Linked DNA regions of Drosophila melanogaster. The protein of the gene in region 3 purifies or fractionates together with the protein of the main gene of each other region. This does not show direct contact. Each region holds a gene or a part of one and is shown on either strand. Other genes may lie near its edges.

The links.
Region 1: the proteins of Wee1 (region 3) and Klp10A purify together in Drosophila melanogaster (affinity purification with western blotting, with the first as the bait; one study listed by BioGRID). This does not show direct contact.
Region 2: the proteins of Wee1 (region 3) and CG13605 purify together in Drosophila melanogaster (affinity purification with western blotting, with the first as the bait; one study listed by BioGRID). This does not show direct contact.

The regions. Positions count from the first base shown.
Region 1 is NC_004354.4:11,132,898-11,140,668, forward strand, and holds the start of Klp10A (Kinesin-like protein at 10A), read right to left. Parts: upstream 4,222-7,771; 5' UTR 3,970-4,221; intron 3,882-3,969; exon of another isoform or gene 3,199-3,881; 5' UTR 3,020-3,198; coding exon 1,983-3,019; intron 790-1,982; coding exon 543-789; intron 467-542; coding exon 1-466. Other genes in the region: CDK2AP1 (CDK2-associated protein 1), read left to right, coding at 5,160-6,005; ssp7 (short spindle 7), read right to left, coding at 6,947-7,037, 7,104-7,212, 7,281-7,347; CG15199 (uncharacterized protein), read right to left, coding at 7,723-7,771. UniProt on the Drosophila melanogaster protein: Required during anaphase to drive sister chromatid separation to promote flux by actively depolymerizing kinetochore microtubules at their pole-associated minus ends, thereby moving chromatids through a 'poleward flux'.
Region 2 is NT_033777.3:24,108,525-24,115,940, forward strand, and holds CG13605 (uncharacterized protein), read right to left. Parts: upstream 3,866-7,416; 5' UTR 3,799-3,865; coding exon 2,239-3,798; intron 2,025-2,238; coding exon 1,809-2,024; intron 1,751-1,808; coding exon 1,517-1,750; 3' UTR 1,420-1,516; downstream 1-1,419. Other genes in the region: CG18428 (uncharacterized protein), read left to right, coding at 872-1,064, 1,132-1,373; CG13607 (uncharacterized protein), read right to left, coding at 5,912-7,416.
Region 3 is NT_033779.5:6,909,448-6,917,702, forward strand, and holds Wee1 (Wee1 kinase), read right to left. Parts: upstream 4,692-8,255; 5' UTR 4,481-4,691; coding exon 3,979-4,480; intron 3,835-3,978; coding exon 3,498-3,834; intron 3,442-3,497; coding exon 2,737-3,441; intron 2,636-2,736; coding exon 2,502-2,635; intron 2,406-2,501; coding exon 2,254-2,405; 3' UTR 1,643-2,253; downstream 1-1,642. Other genes in the region: Rat1 5'-3' exoribonuclease, read left to right, coding at 1-1,445; x16 splicing factor, read right to left, coding at 5,596-5,953; CG32829 (uncharacterized protein), read right to left, coding at 6,236-6,940; nop5, read right to left, coding at 7,451-7,715, 7,894-8,255. UniProt on the Drosophila melanogaster protein: Acts as a negative regulator of entry into mitosis (G2 to M transition). This kinase specifically phosphorylates and inactivates cyclin B1-complexed CDC2.

The DNA.
Region 1 (7,771 bases), on a different chromosome or scaffold from region 3:
TCATGCACGTCTTGCTCTTCTCGCCAATGAACGAGTCGCGCAGCACCTGGGTGAGTTTGGAGACACGGAAGGGCAAGTGGGCCGACTGTTTGCCCAACGCACGAATGCACTCCTTGAGGGCCAGCAGCGATTTGTTAATCTCGGCACCCTCCATACGCGTCTGCCGATCGGCCGAGGAAGTGTCCACGCCCCGCTCATTGCCCGCCAGATCGATGAACGAGAACTTGCCATGGATCTTCGTCGAGCCCTGCGGCCGCAGCACAATCTGGAAAACGGCGTGCGAACGCGACGAATTGGAGTTGGCCGACGTCTGGCCGGATGTTCGGGCAGCATTGCCGTGCTGGATGAGCTTCAGTACCTCCTCGACGCCATCGACCACCTTCTCGGTGAGTCCCACCACCTGCACTTGCTGTTTACCATCCTCCAGGACGCGCAGTTTCTGCTTGTCGGACAGAAGATCGAAGACCTATGGCAACAACACAACGATCGATTAATACAGCTAAGTATGATAATCATGCCAAGTTGTATGTTGTCTCACTCACCTTGCCACTGTAAATCTCAAAGAAACTGGCCGAGACGACTAGATTCATGGCGCGGTAACGCGGCATATTCAGGGTCACAAAGACATCCTTGGCCGCCATGGCGTAGATGCCGTTCTTGCAGTCCTGCACCTTTCCATTAAACTCACCGCCCATGGTGTGCGTTTTGCCCGATCCCGTCTGGCCGTAGGCGAAGCACGTCGCCATTCCGCCCTCGAAAATGGTTTTCACCAACGGCTTGGCTGTGTATCTGCGCGGATGAAGTGCAAGATTATAGATTAGCATGGTTATTCAATGCAGATATGTGCTATATGCAAGCATTCAATACTATATGGACTGTTGTGTTTCAGACTTTAGCATTAATCATAGATAAATACATCGATTTGCATTCAAAGTTAGCAGTTGCTTAGTAAAAATGATTATCGATAAGAATTATACATACGACTAATTAAGGAACGCATATTGAAATGTAATCAATAAATGTGTAAGTTGCATTGTTTTCTGCCAATACTGAGTATTGATAACGCACGATGTCAGCAGTTGATTCACCCATTTGGATTTGTCAACACGAGACTACGTTATCATCGGCGAGATTTTGTGCATTAATGCCGGGCTATATTACTCATGGGGTATACTTTTTGGGCTATACTTAAGCGATTGCCGTGACGCAACTAATGGCATTACCAATTCCCGACAGCCACACAATACATACGAGTGCGAAAACCGGAAAGAGAAGCTAAGCAAGAAGTTGGCGGAGAAAGGAAAGGGGCAGCAGCAGCCGTAGCAGCTTTAATTCAATTGAAGCCAAACAATTGCTAATGGACAAATGCCGGGCCACAAGGCAGTTACTTTTTCGAAATCTCTTCCGCTGGAGAATTGGGTTTAGAGAGCTCGTGTGCAGATCGGCGGACGGAGTGGCCGGGCGGGGGCAGGTGAAGCGTCTGGGGCTTCCAAGTTAGTCATTCAACGAACTTGGCTATTTCGGGAGCAACCGCTTTCATGATGCATGTGTGTGGCTCTGTTGCCGTCTCTGTCGGCATGACTCAATGGGTCGCTCTAACAGAGATGCGCCAACGAAACGAGCTCGAAAAGTGACTGGCACATTTGGTTACTCGATGGAAATCTGATAAATGGGGCAATGATTTCTTTAAAGGATATGCTGCTTTATACTATATATGATTCCACTGCATCAACAAATTAGGTTTAAGATTGAATGATAGCTATAGAGGGTCATCTATAACGAAATAAGATTTTCTATAGTTCAGTTCAATTGAAATAAAGCCGTTTGCTAGCAAGGATACGCATTAGTAATTGAAGAAGCCTCCCCAAGACATTGGAATGTGTGGTCACCATATCGAGCGTTTGTTTAGAATCACTACTAGTAATTCAAACAGACCATATATGGAGTTGTTTTGGAGCTTGTTATTTGGATTGGATACTCACTTGTATACCATGGCATTGTCGCACGTGTCGTTGAAGGCGTAGTCGAAGCGAAACTTGTGGTTCTCCAGGAACTTGGTGAGGTCGACCTTGCTGCGCGGCTCGTGCACGATGAGCATGTCCTTGCGCGGCACCGAAATGACATCGATCTCCTTGCGATTGACCTCCTTGCGGCTAATGGGACGCTTGCGCACGCACACTGTGATCTGATGGTCATCGACGGCCTGGCCATCGAGCAGCGGCACAAATTCCAGCGTGCTCTGATATTCGCGTATCATTTGCGCCGTCTCCCAGTTTGGATTGCCCGGATCCTGGTTCATCAGCGCCACCTTCTCCTCCTTCATCTCGGCCTGTCGGGCGCGTCGCTTCTCGCGATTCTCCTTCAGTCGCTCCACCTCTTTCAATGCGTGCGATCGCCGGGTACTAGCGCCGCCAGCTCCCTGGGTTGTGGCCGCAGTGGCGACTCCTTGTGCCGCCGGACCAGCACTGGCTGCCGCGCTGGGATTGGGCAATGTGTTATTAGGCACCGCCGAGGCGATCCTTGTCTGCTGCTGGCCGGTAGCAGCTTGCGAGTACCGTGGACGCTGTAATCCAGTGGTCGTCGACGTTGTGGTGCCACCACCTCCGCCGGCCGTAGTGTTGGAGTTGCTGTTTGTATTCACGCTATTGCTGCTGACAATCGGATTGGGAATCGACTGGCTTTCCTGGATCTTGTTCAGCATGTTTCCGGCCATGGTCATACGGCTGGTGAGATTGCCACCGATAGCCGATTGTGTGGGATTACGCGAGAGGTTCATCGGCGCGGTGGCTTGTTTCTTGGGCTCCGGGGCGGCGTGCTGTTCGACAGTATCTTGCATTAGCTCCGGATTGAGCGTGAGTATGGCGTCCAGTTCTACCTCCTTGCCCTTCGTTTCGCCGCGCTCGTACCATTCGACTGTGATGCACTTGCCCGACTGGTTGATCACCGCCACCACGGCCATGTGGACGCGGCCATCCGTCCGCTTGATCTTGACGCTCTGCCCCACCGTAATCATGTCCATGATCCTTCCTCTTTGACTCCACCTGTATATCTCTATTCTCCACCGATCTCTTTCTCTTTCTCCCGGCTTATCCTGCGTTAACTCCGAGTACTGCTTGATGGACAGCAACTTCCACTGCTTGCAGGAGGAGTTCCGTTAGTCGTAGATGTAGTAACTACGTTGTGGTGTGCAAAATGTGCCTAAATAAATACATAAACAAAAAACACAATTTAGTCAGATTTTTTAGGTCGAAAATAATTTTATTTCGTTGTTTCTTGACGAGCGATAAACTTGTGGAAACTAAGCCCCGAACCGAATTCAAGGCATTGACAACTAAATCGAACCCAACTGCTTGTCGAGGTCGCCGACAGCGTCTGTTTTTTTTTTTTCGAGTGTCCCAGTGTGTGTGTGTGTGCTGCTTGCGGGTCGGCGTTAGTATGTGTGTTTGTGCTGAATTCAAATGCCAACTGTCGTTTTCGTTGCGTCTGGCAACGGATAACAAAAAGGAAAAACGGCAGCCCGCTGGCTGGGAATTGGAAATAGGAAAAGGGGAGCTCCGAGCCAGCGTAGGATCGCGAAAATCCCAACCGAGTTGCTGCTTTTGTTGTTGTGCGCCCATTTTGTGGGCACTGGCGGCACTGTGCAACACTGACACACACATAGCGACACATATGCAGCTGCGGCAAGCCTTTTGGCCGAAATGCAGCGAAAAAAACAACAAACCGCGGCGTTTGGCAGCCAATCAATGCTTTCCGCTCCTAATTAGATGCAAAACTGATGAGAGAGAAACACAACACTTGCACACACACACATATGCAAGGAGTGGGGGGAATGCGTTTGCTTTATCGCTTTACGTCATACACAGAGCACCCACACACACTTGCGAGCAAACACAAACACACACCGATGCAGAAAACAGACGGTCGCGGAAATTTAATTGAATTTTTCGCAATCTTCTGCCTTTCGCTCACCTTTCCTGCTATCTTCCCAACCGCTACAATGTGTTAGCACTTTCCATTAAAAAAAAAACTGGCGGATTTATCGACCGATCACAACGAAATATCACAAAATCTGCTAGAAATAGTTTTGCAAGCGACCAGATGTCAGCAACACAATTTTTTAGTTTCGCCTCGCCATTGTTTTTTGTCCCCGCCGCGTTGCGCAGCACTGGACTGCAGCGCAAACAGTGCTGGCAATCAGCCGTTGTGTTTGAAAAGTGAGACAATTGGCGTGTTAATAAGTGAATAAAATCCATATTAAGCAGGGTTACTATTGGCTAAGTAGTTTTTGGGTATATTTATGACTTTTTAGTAGAAATACAAGTATAATTTTGACAACTTGAGAGTTTATTATTAAGATTGATGTCTTGGCCAACACTAGGCAAAGTAACCGTTAAAAATGTCAGCTGTTTTGGAATTTATATCAATAAGTAATAAAAATAAGCGACCGCTTTTGTTGGCATAAGCATAAGTTCATTAAAATGTGCCTTATTTATTGAAAGAATCAACGTTTCGGCAATACTTTGTATATTTGTGTGCAATTGGCTTTTCCGCCCCCCGAAACTAGACAACACTAGACATACATAACGTTGGGTATTTTTAAGCCCTAACAAAATTAGCTGTTTAATAAGACAAATTGGGAGTGCCTTATCAGGGTGAACTAGGTATTATTCGACGTGGATGGTTATTCATTTGCATGGTTTTACCGTTTTGTCATTCATGTATACATATGCACTTGGGTTAAATTTTGTAATTTTCTTGTAGTTTTATGGTTGTTAATTATCTTTTTTTCAAAAACATTTAGCCATTTACCAATTTGGACAAAGAGCTTTCCACATGTATACAAATTGCTTGTACAGTGGAAACACCCACATTCGAGACGCGAATAGGTGGGCACTTTGCATCGCGCTTGTCTATCGATACTATAATCCGAACCATCGACTTTTGTTGGTGGGGGTGTATTTGTTTGTGCGTTGAAGGGAAAGCGTAATAACGCCTCCTGATATCGATATCGATATCATATCACAAAAAACAATAAACCAAAAAAGAAACGCTAAAAACTAGTAGTTTTGTGTGCCAGGAAAACGGAAAGGTGGACATAGTTAAGTTACCACAACAACCGACGGATATCGACTCCAGACACCACATCGCCCAGCGCCACCATGGACATCATGGATATCCAGGCCGTAGAGTCCAAGCTGAGTGACGTCACGGTGACACCGATACCGCGCAGCCAAGTGCAGAATTTCTACAATTACCAGCAGCAGCGGGAGCAGCGCGAGCAGCAGCCCCAAATCCAGATATCGGCCATCCACCACTCGCGTGGATCCGTTGGCGGAGGAGGCGGATCCAACTCATCCAACGCTGCCACCGACTACTCCACGAGCAGCGGTGGCAAGCGGGAGCGGGACCGCTCCTCCGCCAGCGACTACAGCAGCTCGTCCAGCAAGCAGAGCTCCGCTGCAGCGGCCAATGCAGCAGCAGCTGCCGCCGCCGTCGCTGCCCTCCAATACTCCCCGCAGTTCCTCCAGGCCCAGCTGGCGCTACTCCAGCAGCAGTCGAACACGACGGCCACGCCGGCAGCCGTCGCCGCTGCGGCCCTCTCGCTGGCCAACATGTGCTCCAGCAATGGTGGTCAGCGGAATTCCGGTGCCGGCGTTTCCTCCACCTCCTCTGGCAGCAATGGCCAGAGCATGGGCCTGAATCTGAGCTCATCGCAGCTAAAGTACCCGCCACCCTCCACCTCGCCCGTGGTGGTGACCACCCAAACTTCGGCCAATATCACCACGCCGCTGACCTCCACGGCCAGCCTGCCCTCAGTGGGCCCGGGCAATGGGCTGACCAAGTACGCCCAGCTGCTGGCCGTCATTGAGGAGATGGGCCGCGATATCCGGCCCACGTACACGGGCTCGCGCAGCTCCACGGAGCGTCTCAAGCGGGGCATTGTCCATGCCCGCATCCTGGTGCGCGAATGCCTCATGGAAACGGAGCGTGCGGCGCGCCAATGAGAGGAGGAGTCGCTGGCGCCGCAGCTGGCGACCCCGGAGTGAAATGGACCAGGAGGCGAGGATCGGCCTCATCTAGGTTAATTACCCCCAAACAAAAAAAACAAAAAAAAACACGGACATATAGCAAACGCAAAGATCCATTTTGTCCCAATTAAGCATTAAAGTGTAGCAATTTGTACTAACTTGTAAGCCCACATCAACTTAATGGCCCTCGGGCCGCCGGACCATAGTTAAAGAATGTTTAGACTAGCTCAGGTTACAATCGGTTAAATCGACAATGCTACAAGTATAGCTGCAGCCCAAGTTATTGGACTTGTGTATCTCTACCGTATACCCATTAATTTGTATCCGTTAATGCAAGACCCAGTTGCTCCTGTGTCTGCGTTAGTGAATGCAATCAATTACGAGTATCTAATGGCAACCGCCGTCGAGGATTTGCAGATACAAATGCAGATGCAGATACGGATGTATCTGGACAGGATTTGTGCGAGTTTGTCACTGCCGGATAAAGCTGCTCCTCGTTATTTTAGAGAACTATACAAATGCAGATATGTAGATGTAGTTAAGCAGAGATATATGTATACATATATACTTGTTATGCAAGCGAACAGTGTGCATGTCCAAGTGAATGGTGAATTAGTGGCAATTGACACGAGAATATTTATATATGTATACACATTATTTACTATATGTATGAGAGCAAATACGACTAAGTTCAAGCATGTATACCAAACCGAAACCGAAATCGAAATCGAAATAAATGCGCTATTTTGGTTTTTGTAAACGCAGAACTGGCAAACTTGATTCTAATTATGTATGAACCCCTCATAACCATCCATCCAACTGCATCTCTCATTTAAGGTATGTATGTTTCTATAGTTATATATTCAGTTTTCATAGTTCATTTCACATTTGCAGTTCGACTTGCGAGGGAGGCGTTGTCAGCAGTTGAACTTGGGACAGCAGCCGGGATAGGGTTTGCTCAGATCCTCTTCCATTTTGCAGGGCTTCAAGGAGGCGATGGCCGGGCATCTGGATGGCCACAAGTGGCAAGGTGGGTGAGTCAAGGAGTCATCAATCCATGTAGAAGCTACTCACCCCAAGGCAGTCACCTGTTTGGGTGCCTGGCAGGTGTACTGCAGGCAGCGACCTTCCGGCGTGTACTTCTCTCCGGTCTTGAACTGATGCCCACCGATCTCGCAATCCACTACGAATGAACAAGATGAACATGCGGGATTGAATGGTTTGTGGCGACGATGCACTGCATCCACTTACCGGCGAACACCAGCAGCGAGTGGGCGCCCAGAACGAGCAGGCAGAGTACGAACGTGACCGATTTCATATTATGTAGCTAACTGATCAACGGATCGCTCGGCTGGGCGACTATATAGTTCCACTTGTTTCGGGGTGCGCCAGCGATTAGACTGAAAGGTCAAGATCCCTGTGCTCCCGTGCGATTGCGTCTCAGGGGTCCTCGGGTTTATCAAATAGGTGGAAAATTCTCGTTACATACAGATTCGTTCCGGAGGCTGGCGAAACAGCTGCAGTTCCAGTGATAACATCATTAGTTTCTTAAACTATATATGTTTTTATTTAACTAAAGATTATACTTGTTACTAGTACTTTGGCTAACTTTGCCACAAGATCAATGGATTATAGTTTAAATAGAAATAGTAATTCCGAACAGATCGATGCTTTTGGATCTAGTATCTTGTATCTAGTATTCGTCGGAGCACTCGAGTTGGGGACAGCACTCGGGGAACTTG
Region 2 (7,416 bases), on a different chromosome or scaffold from region 3:
TGACTGGTAGCTGATACTGGTGCTCTCCTGCTGACTGCTTGGCTGTTCCTGTGGCGCTGTTCCAACCTCTGGAACGAGTACCTGTGGATCCGGGTGTTTGCACTACTAGATTCTTTATGCTGCTGCTTCTTCTGGCGCAATTCTTCTTTTGCTCCTTGGCTGCGCGTGTGTGTGTTGTGTGTGTGTGTGTGTGTGGGCAAATGGGTTTTTGGTGGATTCTCTTATGGGCGATTTTTTGGGGCAGCCGCTTTTTCGGGGAGCGGTTCGCTACGGGTCCGCCGCTCTCTCTGGTAAACAATCGTATTTCCTGTGCCTTATCCTTTCCGGTTATCAGTGGGTTTGCTTATTTTTTGGCCGTTTAGTTTTGGTTCGCTCGACTTTAGTTTGACGTTTCTTTTTGTACACAACACAACATGCGTCCGATTAAGTTCCACTTGCTATCCACATTCCACGCGGCGCTGTCAAAATCGACCAGTGCTGTAGGTCGAAGAAGAATTTTGACATTGGCCAGCACTGCACGTAGTGCAGTTACATACCCTACTGAAGTGGGTATATATGTTTCATTAATTTCATTAATTTTTCAACTCGAGTTAAATTGATTAATTTCCGTTGTTTGTTAGGGAAATTAAGTGACTCAAATACCAACATTTATTTCAACTCCAATAATTATAAAAATTTACTTTATAATGTAATCAATAATAAAATGAATAATTACATAAATAGTAAACATATATTCCAAAATATTTTTTAAGAATGCAGCAACACCGCTGACACAACATACCCCACATTTGGTTACAGGGTATCAGAGTATCGAATTTTTGCTGTCATTCTTCAAAAATCAGTTTGTTTACGTTCACCTGCAAGCCGCATAATGGGAAAAAGTGAGAAAAAATCAAAGAAAAAGCATAAGGAGAAGCGCAGGGAACACAAGGAAAAGCACAAGTCAAAGAAATCCAAGAAACACAACCGAAAAAAGGAAGAATCTCCGCCGATAGCTTCACCAACACCAATACAGCCTGAAAGGGTCAACCAGGAGGAGGAGGATGACTTTGCCATACCAATAGGTCCGTAAGAGCCCCCCTGTATATATTTATTATTGCTGAACACTCTAAACCCACCCCAAAACCCAAGCACTGATGAATAGCAAATCACATGCCCCGGAAACTCCAGAGGAATACCAGCGCCGTCAGAGCCAGATCCGCAAAGAGGTGGACCCGGTGACGGGTCGCGTCCGGCTCATCAAAGGCGACAGTGAGGTGCTGGAAGAGATTGTGACCAAAGAGCGCCACCTGGAGATCAACAAGAAGGCCACCCGCGGTGATGGAGAGTTCTACGAAGCCAGATCTCTGGACGCCGCCAAGCGTCGCAAATAGCTAATTTACCAAAAATGCAAAAATATAATAAGCTATTTCATGACTTGTAGTAATAATTAATAACTGTCAGTTTAATTAAACAAAGGGCTAGCTAGCGACTATATGTACACGCGAAATCCGTGGAAATTTCTTTGGTGGCGCAGCTAGTACAACTGATGGAAGAAGGTAGTGCTGCCGTCCTGCCAGGCGGGATCATCGCTAACCTTCGCCCTGCACATCGGACAGGTCTGTTCGCGCTTGAACCAGGTCTGGACGCACTCATCACAGAAAATGTGGCCGCACTCCAACACAGTGGGTGTGTTGAAGGCGTCATGGCAGATTGGACACAGGGCACCCGCAGCATCCAGCTCGTCTTTGGTCGGCGGCCGCTCAGAGTCCTTGAATAAATGTGTATTAGAAATGTGTACATAACAATCAAGTCTCAGGCATTCATACAATATTTTTTCTGAAGGTCACAATGGCTTTCTTTAGCGACTTGCCGCGCTCCACCAGCTCAAATATCTTGGCACCCAGGTACATTGCGGAAAAGAGTCCTCCGGAAACCACCTCCAGGCCGGAGTAGGACTCGTATAGAAATAGGAGCCACTGGGTAATGGGTGTCATTGCCCGGTAGAACTGCGAAATGTACTCCACCAACACATAAAGCCTAGCCTGAAATGCGAAATCAATGTATATAAATGGAAATGTATATTACAAATGGGACTTTCCATTTTCCATTTGATAATGTAAGCTCTTAATTAAATTGAAATTATGAATATTTTTGAGTTGTTAATGCATGAACTAAGATTTCATCATTAGCGTTAATTTTATGCTTTGGCATTGGGAATTTATCGCACATTGATCCCTGTGGAAAGGAATTACTCACCCGCACTTTAAGTCTCATCAAGTGGTGCGGCAGCATGGTAATAATAAGTTTGACCAGCATTGTCAGCAGTTTGATAATGAGATCGCTCACAGCAATGTAGTACAGCAACATGCCCAGTGGGATCACATTTAGAGATTTGTACGTATCTTTGTACATGTTGGTCTTGATGGGTTCGGACGATGTTGTGGGGCTGTCGCCTTCCGAGCTAGTGTGAAAAGGCAGCGCTGTGACCTCTATGAAAACGGATTTTCTGGAAGGCGGCACAATCAGTCCAAACGGATCTGGCGGCGAAGTGGCCAAAAATAGACGCACTGTAACCACCACGGCAACGAGGAAAGTATCCCGCACCATCACGGCGTAGTTCTTCTGAGCTAGACGGGCTACCTGATTGCGTACTGATCGGTTAACATTATACATCACAGTCTGCAGCACCAGAAGATCCACAATGCCCAGCAGGTGGTCGTGTAAAAACTTGAAAAACAGTATAAAGATAAGCGGCAGATATCGCACAAAATGGCTGAGAATCTGGACCACCATGTCATCCGAGATGAGATGTTCATCCTCTGGATTATTCTCTGCTGGCTCTGGTGGATTGCCACCTCCACCTCCGTTCTCCACGTTGCCATCGCTTTCGTCAAGGTCTTGGCTCTCATTTGCTTCGCGTTCGTCGAAGGCCGCCGGATTGCTGTTTAGTCCTATGGCACTGGCATTGTGCCGTCCTCCGTTAAGGCTGTGATTGTGTCGCATCTCACCCTCACGCAGCGAGATACTTCTACCCATAGCTCCAGCTGAACTGGCTCCAGATACGGCCGAAACGCGCCCGTATCGCAGAGGGCTGACTGGCTCAGGCATTGATGGTTGCTGCTGGCCGAGCAGTATGTGCGAGTTGTCTACGGGATTGGCGGCTGGCTGAGGTCCTGGTGCCGCGGGGGCTGCAGTGGTTGCAGGTGGATATCTAAAATTGGAATGTGAGATGAAGGATCGGAGCGCCTCTGTCGACGAGGCAGTTGAAAGCGAAAAGACATCGTTGAGGTTGACACGCCAAAAGCCCATTTGTCGAACACCTGCCGCAGTTCCTGGCGATGCTCCTGGTCCACCTGCTGCTCCGGCGCTGGACGGCTCCTCGAGACTGCCACCGGTGTTGGCGCCCATACTACGGGACTGCTGAAGACGACGGTTCATCTGTGTGGTCACCCGCACCGGGGAACTGCTGTTGCTGGCTGGCGTGTACGAGCGCTGACGGGCCAAAAATGTGGATAGAATGTTACCATGACGGACATTACCACCACTAAGGCTGCTGCTCCGCGCCGTGGGAACGTGTTGGTGGTCCAGGTTTACGCTGGTGCTGGTCGATCCTCCAGAGACGACGCCTCCACCTCCGACGCCACCACCAGAGGTCACCGAAGATGAGGAGGCAGGCAGCAGGTAGTCGTGTTCCGCCGTCGTCGAGTCATTGTCGTCGCTCTCGATGTTGATAGACACACCGGTCGATCCAGCGCCATCCTGGGGTCCAGAACCTCCTCCTCCTCCACGATAGGGATCCTTGGGGCTGTTGTTCATTGTTCCACATCCAATCTCCAATGCTTGGAGCTGGCCTTTTTTCACATAGAACACCAATACGTCTAACAAAGTCTTCCGTATTTTGCCTCCGTTGTCAGCTGGTCACACCAAAATCTAGCTTAAAATGAACGCGGTTAAAACCGAATTAAACACTATTAATACACATATACAATACACTAACTATCTTGAATTCAAAAAAATAACGTTTTTTATTTATAATAAGATAAGATTTATTTAAGATGAAAAAACACCACAAACTCTTCAAAGATAATTTTCAAAACAATAGGACATGTACGGTCACACTTTGGGGTGGAACATGTGTGGACTGTGGATTTATAAAAACAAACTCAGCTACTTTTTAACACAAATTTTTCATGGAGGTAGGGGTAACCTGTATTTCAGAGAGGGGTTAAAAATTTGGTTGGTGTCGATGGCAATTAAATAGCCTACATATTTCTACATGTCAGTAGTTGTGCTGAATCGGTCATTTTGTGGTTACATTTTTTAAGACAATTCGCTCTTGTGTTATTATAAATAATATAATTATAATTTAATGCATTATTTCAAAAATTTAATAAACAAAAATCCCTCTATCAGGCGAGCAAAAGATATATGCTAATTTTTGACAGCAGGTTCTCTCAGCCAGGTTGGCCGAGCGGTCTAAGGCGCCAGATTTAAGCTCTGGTTCTCGAGAGAGAGCGTGGGTTCGAACCCCACACCTGGCAAAAGTAAAATTTGTTTTTTTTTTTAGAATGACTCTTTTAATAACATTAATAAGATGAGGAAAATTATTTAATTTCCCTGGCAGAGAGTATTAGATTAACAAATTAATTCATCTGAACATGAGTCAGTGATAACCGAACAAATTGATTTCAACAGATTAAATATCATTCCATTTCGCAATATCTGTTTACTTTTTTTTAGATCTAGGAGTTTTTTAAACCAATTTAAGTTAATTTATTCACTAGAAATAAGAGACGGCTCTCTACCTCATAAATTATGCAAATCATTTTCAAATTTCTCTTTTTGGCCTCGTGGTGCAGTGTTCTCCACCTTTTCATGCACTTCGCTGGCCCATTGATAAGGATAATGGAAATGGCTCAGTTACCACCAACCAACCGCAATTAAGCTGACCCAAAGCCGTTGCCTGGTTACCCAAAAGGTGTCCACAACAACTGGCCGCGTTCAGGAAGCAGAAGGCCAAAACAACCACCGCCAGGAGTGCAGGCACCGCCGAAGGACCAAGGACAAACCCTTACAACCCGTCTGGTCAGTTCGGTTTGTGTATTTAGACAAGGAGTAACGTGTGCAACGTGTTAAATATTCAGCCAGATGCAGTTTATAAATGGTTCACTAATATAAATGGGTAAATAGAAGATACGAATATGTGCGGTTAATAGAAAGAAAACGTGTAAACGATCTAACGATATTACGTTCTAGATTTAACGTTCTAATATTTAAGTGAAAAGAAATTTCCTTGTTTTTAAGTATAGTGAATTACGCAAAGAACAAAAGAGTGTGTAACTAAACAATAAAAACAAATCCAACTATTATATTTATTATATATATCATGATATATGAAGAAACTACCCCAAATATTATTAAGCTTATTAAGCTCAAGTCATCTTCAAATCGCATAACAAAGAAGTGCCGCACAACAAGCTGAGTTCCAATCGAAATAAAGTTCGCATAAGTAAAAAATTAAGTCAAATGGGCAATTAAAATATAAATATTATTTATTGTACAATATATTGTGGTATAAAAGCTATATTCGTGCATGTGTGTATGTGGTGTGTGTGTGTGTGTGTGTGAGCGGTACACGTTTGTTTTTTAACGGCCTAATCTTCTTAGATGGATGTTGAACCCCAATGGCGTAAACAAAAAAAAAGAAATAGTATAGAATGCAAAAATATATATATATATATATATATATATATATATATATATATATATATGTACATATATATGCTATATAGATTTCTATATATTCCATTATTGATCAGTCTGTGTAATCTCTCTCGCTAAAGAAACGCCTGATGCTGGATGCTAGAGGCTAGATGCTGCTGTTCGATGCTTAAAGCCGATGCAGTGGCTCCAGCTCCGGCCGCTCCGTTCAATGAACCGGCACCGTGATGCGTGGCGATAAGGTTTTGGTCGCGCTGCGATTCCGGCGCTGCAAAAACAGCTTCACGTTCTTCAGGGGCAGCTGGAAATGATAGTATGCGCAATAGGGTAGTGGATCCCAGTAGGCAAACAATGCCTCCCGCTTGTCCAGCGCCGTCGTCGAAGTGGTTCTCTCCAGCGCCGACCAGCTCCAGTTGGGCAGTTCATCCTCGGGCAGTCCCCGCCTGTGGATGCACTTCATCGCACGGCACAGCAACTGGGCATGCGATCGATTGTGGCATATGTAGGGCAGGGCCACGCCCAGTCGCGTGCCCAGAGGCACGAACTGACCACCATGGGCGGGGCTCTTGACCAGGCGGAAGCTTATATGCCCATTGATGGGCCTCTGGAAGCGCACCTTGGCAAAGAAGGAGCGCAACCAGAGTTCTATCTGCGCCTCATCGTCCCTGGGCACTGGGATCAGATTCTTGGTATGATGCTCAACCCGACAACTCACATTGGCCACCACCCGTGAATCCTTGACGGTGGTGCAGGTCACATAGTGGTGATAGCCCGGCTGATCCCTTACCACTAGCCACGGTTGCCGCTCGCTGATATCGTGCTGATTCAGCTTTAGTTCCGCCCGCCTATTGGGCAGTATGTACTTGTGCCGCTCCAGGACTCCCTGCATCCCTGCGGCCATGAGTATGTTCCTATAGCTGCCCACGAAACCGCTCTCGTAGATCTGCTGCAATTGCCGTGGAGCTGTCAGCACCACATGGGCTGGCAGAGCCATCTGTTGCTGTTCGCATCTCTGAAAGAGCTGGAGGCAGTCATCCAGCTGCAGTGTCTCCTGCACGCCGGGTATGAAACTGGCACAGCCCAGGACCTCCAGATGTGGTCGGGCCAGGGAATCATAGTATGCCGGACTGGTGGCACAAACGGGTATATAGACCGAGGGTCGTTCCTTCTTCACGATGTGGCACAGGGCGGCTATGTACTGATCCGGATTACTGGCCGTTGGCCGTGGCACCACATAGAATTTGTCCACCGCTGTGGAAAATCTGGCCAATCCGAACAAACCCTCGAACTCAAAGACCACCACACGGGCGCCGGATCCGTAGAAGTTCCTGGCCAAATGTAGGGTCTGTATGGTGCTGCCGCAGCTGAGGAGTATGGTCTTCTGTCGCTGCACTGCACCCAGCTCCTCCTCGCCGCTCAGTAGCCACTTGACCAACGCAATGGGTACCCGCAGCAGTTTCCAAAAGATCCAGAGCAGGGCGGACAACCAAAAGCTTGGCGCCGCAATGGACAGTGGTATGTAGAGGACGTATCTCAAGATGGTCAGCACCAGACGCATCAGCAGTTGTGGTCCGAAGAGCAGGACCCGTGTGCCTAAATTGGGTTGTGGCGGCGACTGCGTCTGAAACTGATGCCTCAGCAGATTGCCATCAGCCGTCCGCTGTCGTCTCAGGGTGACAAAGTGCTTGTGGGCCGTCTGGGATTCCTTGTCCT
Region 3 (8,255 bases):
GGAATCAGGACCACGGATCCTTGAATCAGTCTGCTTTTGGCGCCAGCGCCGTGGGTCCAAACAGCCAGCAAAGGAGCGTCGGCAACTACAAGGAGGAGGCCGCGGCACTTCGTAATAGAAAACGGACGAGTGACATGGCCAATTTGGATGACGAAGATGAGGAGGAGAATAACGACGAGGTGCGATTGTGGGAGGATGGCTTCAAGGACCGCTACTACGAATCCAAGTTTGACGTGGCACCGGGTAACCAGCAGTTCCGATACGCTGTAGCCCTGCAGTATGTCCGAGGATTGTGCTGGGTTCTTAAGTACTACTATCAGGGCTGTGCCTCCTGGAACTGGTACTTCCCATACCATTATGCACCCTTCGCATCGGATTTTGTCAACATCCAGGGACTGTCCACGATGTTCGAAAAGGGCACAAAGCCGTTTAATCCGCTCGAGCAACTGATGGGCGTCTTTCCGGCAGCCAGTAGTTCACACGTGCCCGAGCCGTGGGCCAAGCTCATGTCCGATCCGGAGTCACCGATCATTGACTTCTATCCGGAGGACTTTAAGATCGATCTGAATGGCAAGAAGTTCGCCTGGCAGGGAGTGGCTCTGCTGCCGTTCGTCGATGAGAAGCGTCTCTTCAAGGCTTTGGTTCCCTACTATGATCAACTTACTGGAGAGGAGGTGAAGCGAAACAAGCGTGGAGACAATTACCTGTACATCAGCAATCAGAGTCCGCACTACAAAAAGGTGAAGAAAATCAGCGAAAAGGATGATGAGAGCGTTTGCAAAGCCATCTCATTTGACGGTATGCGCGGCACTTTGGGAAAAACCGAACTAAACACTGCCATCAGCGGCGTTCTTAAGTCGCCGATTTCCGGGCTATCGGACATTAATGACAATATAACCGTGACGACCACGTTCAGGGATCCGGAATACGATGAAGACTACATTTTCGAAGCGAAGCGCCTCGAAAACGCCGTAGATCCGCCACAGGTGCTGCCAAATGAGCAGTCTGGTAACAAGCATCGTCCCGTCATCGGTTTTAATAGCCACTTGACCAGGGCCTACGTTCCGGATAGTGGTCACCGCATGCTGAACGCTGGCATAAGGAACCAACAGGGTGGCGGTGGCAATGGAGGTGGAGGAGGAGGCTACGGGCAAGGAGGCGGCTACGGCCAGGGAATAGGCGGAAACCAAGGACAGAGCTATCAGAACAATAGCCGAAACTATAACTACAACTACAACAATAACTACAATCAGCACCAGGGTGGCGGCTATCAAAACAACTACAATAACCGACAGCAGCAGCAATATGGCCACAATCAGAGATTCAACCAGGACAATTCGAATCAGCAGCAGCGCAACTTTAACAACTATAATGGTCCAAGGAACAACAACTACCAGCAACAAGGCGGCAGCAGGCAACAGAATCAGAATTATAGACGGTTTTAGGTGTATCATACAAACAATATAATATGTAGCGCATAACAAAAGTGTAATCCATATTAATTTACATTATTTTTTAATGAAGAAAATATACTGATTAAGGATTTCCAAACAAACTCATGCCAAGTTCTGAGTTTGTTCTTTAAATGAAATACCCATTGCATTTCTATCAAAGCAGCTTACAGCCAACATCTAGTCTTAGTGCCTCAAAGAAAATAAGTCAAATTACAATAATGATCATTTCTCTTTCCATTGATTGCGTAAAAAAAGCAAACTAGCTGGATAATACAAAAAAATGAGACGATTGTTATTTTCAGATAAGGAAAATGGAACATAATTTGACAGGAAATTGGATAATATCAAAACAATTTCTAGTGGAGTAAACAATTGAATTTAAGAAAAACTTCGCAAACATTTTGTTTTAAATCCGGAGTCATAATAAATCCAGTAGTTTTTATGGAATAGCATTCGCTATATTTAACGAATGGAATGTTATTATTTCGATTTCCATGTAACATAATAAATATTTTAATTTCGAAAACAATACTCATTACAACTATGCGAGAATCTTAAAGTTTACAAGGGGCTTTTCTTAAAACGATTGTGCTTTCTTAACAGGGAAAAGTTCACTGAGCTTGAAAAATATATAGATTATATTTACGAATGCTTCAAAATCCATGAGCTTAAACGAAAGCGAATAGTTAGAAATATGTATCGATTATATGAATACGCTTAAAAGGTAACACAATGTGAGCTTAGTTCACGTTCGATTCGGAAGAGTTTAGCTATCGGTTCGGCATCTGTTGCGAGCTTATCAGATATTGGTGATAACGTTCTTGTTGCGATCGGATATGCTGTCGAACTTGCCATGGCTGGAGAATGGCGTGCGCATGCGTCGCGTGAAGCTGCGAAGGCAACGCTGTCCATCCAGACTGTCCGGATTGTTAGTCACCGCAAGAAGATTGACTAAAATGAGTTGCAGAAACGTTAGAAATTGTAAACATCCAGATAACCAACCACCTTAAAGTTTAAGTTGTTATACAACTATTTATCTTATCTTACCTCGTTGCTCGAGCAGTTTAATCTGTTTTTTGGCCTCTCTCAGCTTGTTCATCAGTATCTCGTTCTTGCGCTTCTCCACGGTCAGCTCCAGGCCGAGCTGCAGCTTGCTCTTGGAGTCAACAGCACTCAGAATTCTGCAAATTAAACGAACATTATATGTATTTAGTGTGAGCACATTTATCTTAAATGCAACTAAATATGATTGTCGCTTATACTGTCGACTCAATTTACTTACGGATGACTGAATATAGACTGCGAAGTGGGCCTCTTGTCGGGATAAGGATGCATCATCTGGGCTATGAGCTCGTTAAAATCCCTGCTCAGGCTCGGCAGAATCGGCACCTTGCCATCTCGCAAGTTGTGCCATTCGGGTCCATTTTTAGGCAGCGGACCACCGCCGGCCGCCTCGAACAGCGTGATGCCCAGGGAAAATATGTCGGCCTTGAAGAGATTCGAATAATCCTCGTGAAGGATCTCCTTGGGCAGGTAACGACAGTCTCCCTCCTCGACGTAGGGTTCCTTAACGGAGGTCACGTGTCCCAGGTCGCCGATCTTGTACGTAACCAGATTCTCTGAATGGCGCAGTTCTTCATAGACGCTGTCCATGCCATCGTCATCTTTGGTCTGCTGCGGCTGCACCTCCACCAGCTTGTGTGCATTGGGATTCATGGTGGAGAATATGTTTTCGGGCTTCAGATCCATGTGCACCAGGTCATTTGAATGAATATAGCGTAGGCCCTCTATCACATGCATGAGAACAATCTTTAGCTCTGCCTCACCCAAACAATGATCTTGGATGCGCGCGTGCAAGCTGCCACCATCGCAGAATTCATTCTGTATCAGCATATGATCGTCCTCCGCCCACGCGGAATAGTATCTAACCACGTTATCGTGCTTGCCCAATACAGCATGGGCCCAGACCTCGTTCAGGGCTCTCTTTCTGCAAGCAAATAGATTGTTAAACGACGCTCGTTGCAATAACTAATGAATACTCACTCGAAAGAACTGCCTGCCACCGGCTTCTTACTCTTTTTAATCGCATATATGCAGCCATCTAGTCGATTGACGCATTGGAACACCACACCGAACTCGCCAACGCCGATTACGTTGACTTGCATGAACTCCCGCTTGAAGCGACTGATGTTCGTGTCGTGCAGGGCCAGCCGCTTGGGTGCCTGCTGGTGGATTTCGCGCATCGAGTCGCCCGCCTCCTCCGTCACATCGTCGTCGCAGGCATCACTGAGCAAATACTTTTGCATAGCATTCACGTTCAGGTTGAGGTTTTCGCGTCCGAATTGCGTGCGACAGCGCTTCTTATTGTGAGCCATGAGGCCTAAAAATAAAAAAAATGATTATTAGATTGCTAATAAGACTAAGCTGGGATGGGTTAAAGTGGAGTGCAAATTAAAGCAACGAACTGGAAATTGATACCTTTATTTAATTAAAATATCAAAAGCGAGAAACGTTTTAAACTTACTATCTGGCGTGAAGGGGTTCACATTTGCCGTGTCCTGGGTGGGCAGTTTGCGGTTGTGCAGTGGCAGAGATCGCGGGCGCTCTGACAGGCGGAAGAGGTCGTCGCTGCGCCTGGAGGCATTCACTGCCGCTGCTGCCGCCGACAGATGGTTGCTGCACTGCGTCGTCGACTTCTGCAGGATGGTCTTTGGAGTGGCCGGTGTGCTAAAGAGTCGCAGGGCCCGCACCTTTTGGCATGGCGGCGACATGGACACGTCCCCGTCGCCGCCTTCTTTGCCTATCTTACTGTCCAGCTGCTGCTCCTCACCGGAGGATAGCTTCGGCCGCTGCTGAAGGGGATGCTGCGGACTCGCTCCCTCGGGCGTGTCCTTGTCAAAGTCATCATCGGCGAAGCGGAGCTTGCGCGGATTGAAGACCTGCGGCGATGGCGAACGCGATCTCAGTTCGACGCTTGAATCGAGTGAGGTGACGCTCATCTCGTGCTCCGACTGGCGGAATGCCATTGTTGCTGTAGCTGTCCAGCTGACCACGTTGAAAGACGATTCTGTTCGTTATTTCTGATTTCAGAACTATTTGTATGGAAGCCGGCGGCAGTAAAGTAAAGGCAATAGTTAAAAAAAATGCAAAACAAAACACAAAACAAAATTTAACTGGAGGAATGCTAGTCTAATAATGTGGCCGTACCCGATGCGCAATAAAATACCAGCTCTGACTGAAAAAATACTAAGTAACTGGAAGTGCAGAGTTACCAAACAAACAAAATACTAAACATCTGGCAAAAATACCAATTTAAATAATGCGCACCTACTTCTAAACTGAGTGACCAGACTTGTTCAAGACCGCATAAAGCCCGCCAAATTCAAATGGAAAACAACTAATTTTGGCATTTAATTTATTGATTGAATATCTGTATTTTAGTGTTCAGCGCATTTGCTACATAATTCAAACACACATCTCAAGAATCCATACATATGTATTTTTTTAATACTTAACTATGACATCAATGTATGAATAATTATTATGCACTGTTGCAATACTTAATTATTACGAATATAGAAACACATCATACAGAGATTGGAGTCAAATAATCAAGTTGTTGTGTTGCATAAATTGAAAATTGTGTAAAATTGACATGAAAATGGTGGCGATGCTTCGTCCTCTGCACATTCGAGTATAATTCCAGGGTAAGCAAAATAAAATCCAAGGCAAATCAATTTACATAGCAATCCTGACTAGATCGTTAATCTGCGGCTGCCGATACATTTCTATATCTTAAATTTCCTTCCGTCAAATGATTTTCCGAAGCGCTCTCCTTTGTTCTGCGTGTGCTTGTATTTGTTGTTGTGTTGGAACATTAGAATACCTAAATATGCAAACTCGAGTTCCACTATAAATTAAAACCCTTAACTAATATGGTTTTGGACAACTAAAAACCTTAGATGGATACTGCATGAAAAAGTATTTGGGAATCTGTCTTGTTACACGTGAGGTTGTTTCTTTTGGGAATGAGGATTAGAGTCCAGTGCGTGGAGAGCCCATCTCGCCGGATTCATCGGGGGGTTGCAGCTCCGGCCCTCATCATCGCATGTCGGGCTCCGTCTGCATCCGTTCGCTGTCGCTAGTCCCTTGAAACGGATCGTGAGGCGGACGAGTCACCACGACGCCTGGGCGGCGATCCACGGCGCACCGCTGGCGACGCCGATCGAGATCGGGAACGCGACCGCGGCGATCCCCTAACCCGGTCATCGTCCTCATCCTCATAGCGCCGTTTTGGCGGCGGCGGTGAATCTACCGCTCCACTGCCGTTGCGCTCGTGGTCGCTGTACCTCGACGCCGATCCGTTCTCGTCCCGTCCGTTCGAGCGGCCGGAGCGACGGCCCACCGAGCCGGCGGAGCGACTGCGGGATCGAGTTCCGGACTTGGAGCGAGTGCGCCTGCGTCGCGATGTGCTCCGAGATCTGCTGAATGAGTTGCTTCTGGAAATGAAATGGGATAAATCGTCGTGATTAGCTATCAGGCTTTTCAAAAAACGTAACAATTTAAGCTACCTTATATATGTATATACTAATATACTAATACATTTAAATATATTATAGTGTGCTATATTATTTGAAACATTGTAAGTATCAAAACTAGCTTTTAGCAGATTAAGTTTTAACAGCTTATTGAATAAAACACAAGACAGTATAATATTCTAGAACCTCTCCCAGTTTTAATTCTGCATTTCACATAAAGATCACATGTATAATATAGCTTGCTCAATGCTTGCCGCCCTTCTTTTTGTAGTGCTTGTGGCCGTGCTTCTTGGAGCCCTTCTCGCCGTGCTCCTTCTTCTCCTCGAAGCTGTCGCCGTACTTGTGCTCCTTCTTGTACTTCTTGTGGTCCTCGTCGTGGTGACCCTTCTTGTAGTGTCCGTGGTGCTTCTTGTGACCCTTCTTTTTGCCGCCCTCGTGCTTTTCGCCCTTCTTGTGCTCGCCGTGCTCCTCGGCATGATGATGGTGCTCCTTTCCATACTTCTTATGATGTCCGCCCTTGTGCTCATCATCGTAGAACTTCTTCTCCTTGATGTACTCGTCCTTTTTGAACTTCTTGTGGTATTCTAATTCCTTGTGACCCTTCTTGTGCTTCTTTTTGTGATGATGTTTGCCGCCCTTCTTGTGAGCGCCGTGTTCATGCTTCTCACCATGCTCATCCTTCTCATCGTAGTGTTTCTTCTTCTTCGATCCCTTGTCGCCGTGGTGGTGCTCGTGGTCTTCCACCTCGTGGTGCTTCTTCTCGTCCTCTTCCCATTCCTTGTGCTCCTTGTGTCCGTGCTCACCCTTGTGCTCCTCGTCACCGAACTTCTTCTTCTCGTACTTGTCGCCACCCTCCTCCTCCTCGGATGATGAGGCCTCCTTCTTCTTGGCTGCCGCGTAAGTCAGCAGGAGTCCCAGGACCAGCAGCAACTTAAAATGACCATGCATCTCGCATAGTTTTCTCGTTCAAATGGCACCAGTTGCAATCGCATTTATATACCACGCCGTTGACCACAAAATGGTCAAAATGACTGGGCCTGGCATCATGATGCAAGCAATTGGGGCTGACGTAAAAACTTTCTGCTCCATTGGTCCCTTTACCGCAGTCAAACGTACTTTTTACCTCGCAGCGAGTGACGGATTGGCCTCCAAAATTGGGAGCTGCTTTTGAAATATGTTGCTAAGCTTCGCAGACAAGAACTGAATGCCTAAGAGGTAGCTTAGTTCTTAAAATCAAAGGACATTAAACAATTGCAATTGCTTTCTTAAGAATTAAGTATATCAAAACCAATACGAATAACATATTAACATTTGTATTTTGTTATGCAAATATTACATTTTATTTCTAATGTACACCGGAAACTTTAATCGTTTTGGTAATTATAAAATCCTATACTTTACAGTAAGGTAACCTATGATGCTAAAACTTAAGGCCTACTAACTAGTCAAGGTGGGAAATTACTCCTGGTGCTTTGACTTTTTCTTTTTCTTTGCTGGTGTTGGCTGATCCTCGGGCTCTGGTGCTGCCGCCTCCTCAACGGCCTCCACCTCTTCGTCCTTCTGCTTCTTCTTCTTTTTCTTCTTCTTCTCGGACTTGACCTCCGCCTCCTCCTCAGCAGGTTCCTCCTTCTTAACAGGCGTCTGCTGTTCGGACTCGGAGTGCTTGCGCTTCTTCTTCACGTTCAAGGTGTTGTCGGCCTCTGGTTGGTAGGTGAACACCTCGCTAAAAAGTTAAGAAATAAATTAAATACACTGAACAATCGAGAGATAGCCTGATTGTAAACCCAATTTCGCTCAGACAGCCAAGGTTTATCGTCATCTTAATCGGATACATGCGAAACCTTTTGGGTATCATCACTGGAAATCTGTTTACTCTTATATAATTGACAGCTAAAACATACCTCTTGGCCTGGTACTTCTCGAACTTGGCCTTGGCCTTGCCGGTGCCGGAGAGTTTGCGCAGGTTGCCCTCCTCCAGGAGTCGCAGCCGAGACTCCAGTTTAACCTTGTGAGCCGCTCCTAGCTCAAAGGTAGCCTCTTCGCCAAAGGCATCAACACGCGTGGCAAGCGACGCTTTGGCGGCCAGTGAACGCGACATTTTGCCCTTGTTCTTCTGGCTTGCCTGTCCCACCAACTGGGCGTGATAGATCAAACCGTACTTTGGAGTATCCTTCTTGGTCTTCAGCGCACGGAAGAGTGCTTTCTCGGCGCCCAGAATTTGTACAGTAGATGAGGGATGCTTGGCCAGGTTAATCAGCGAGCC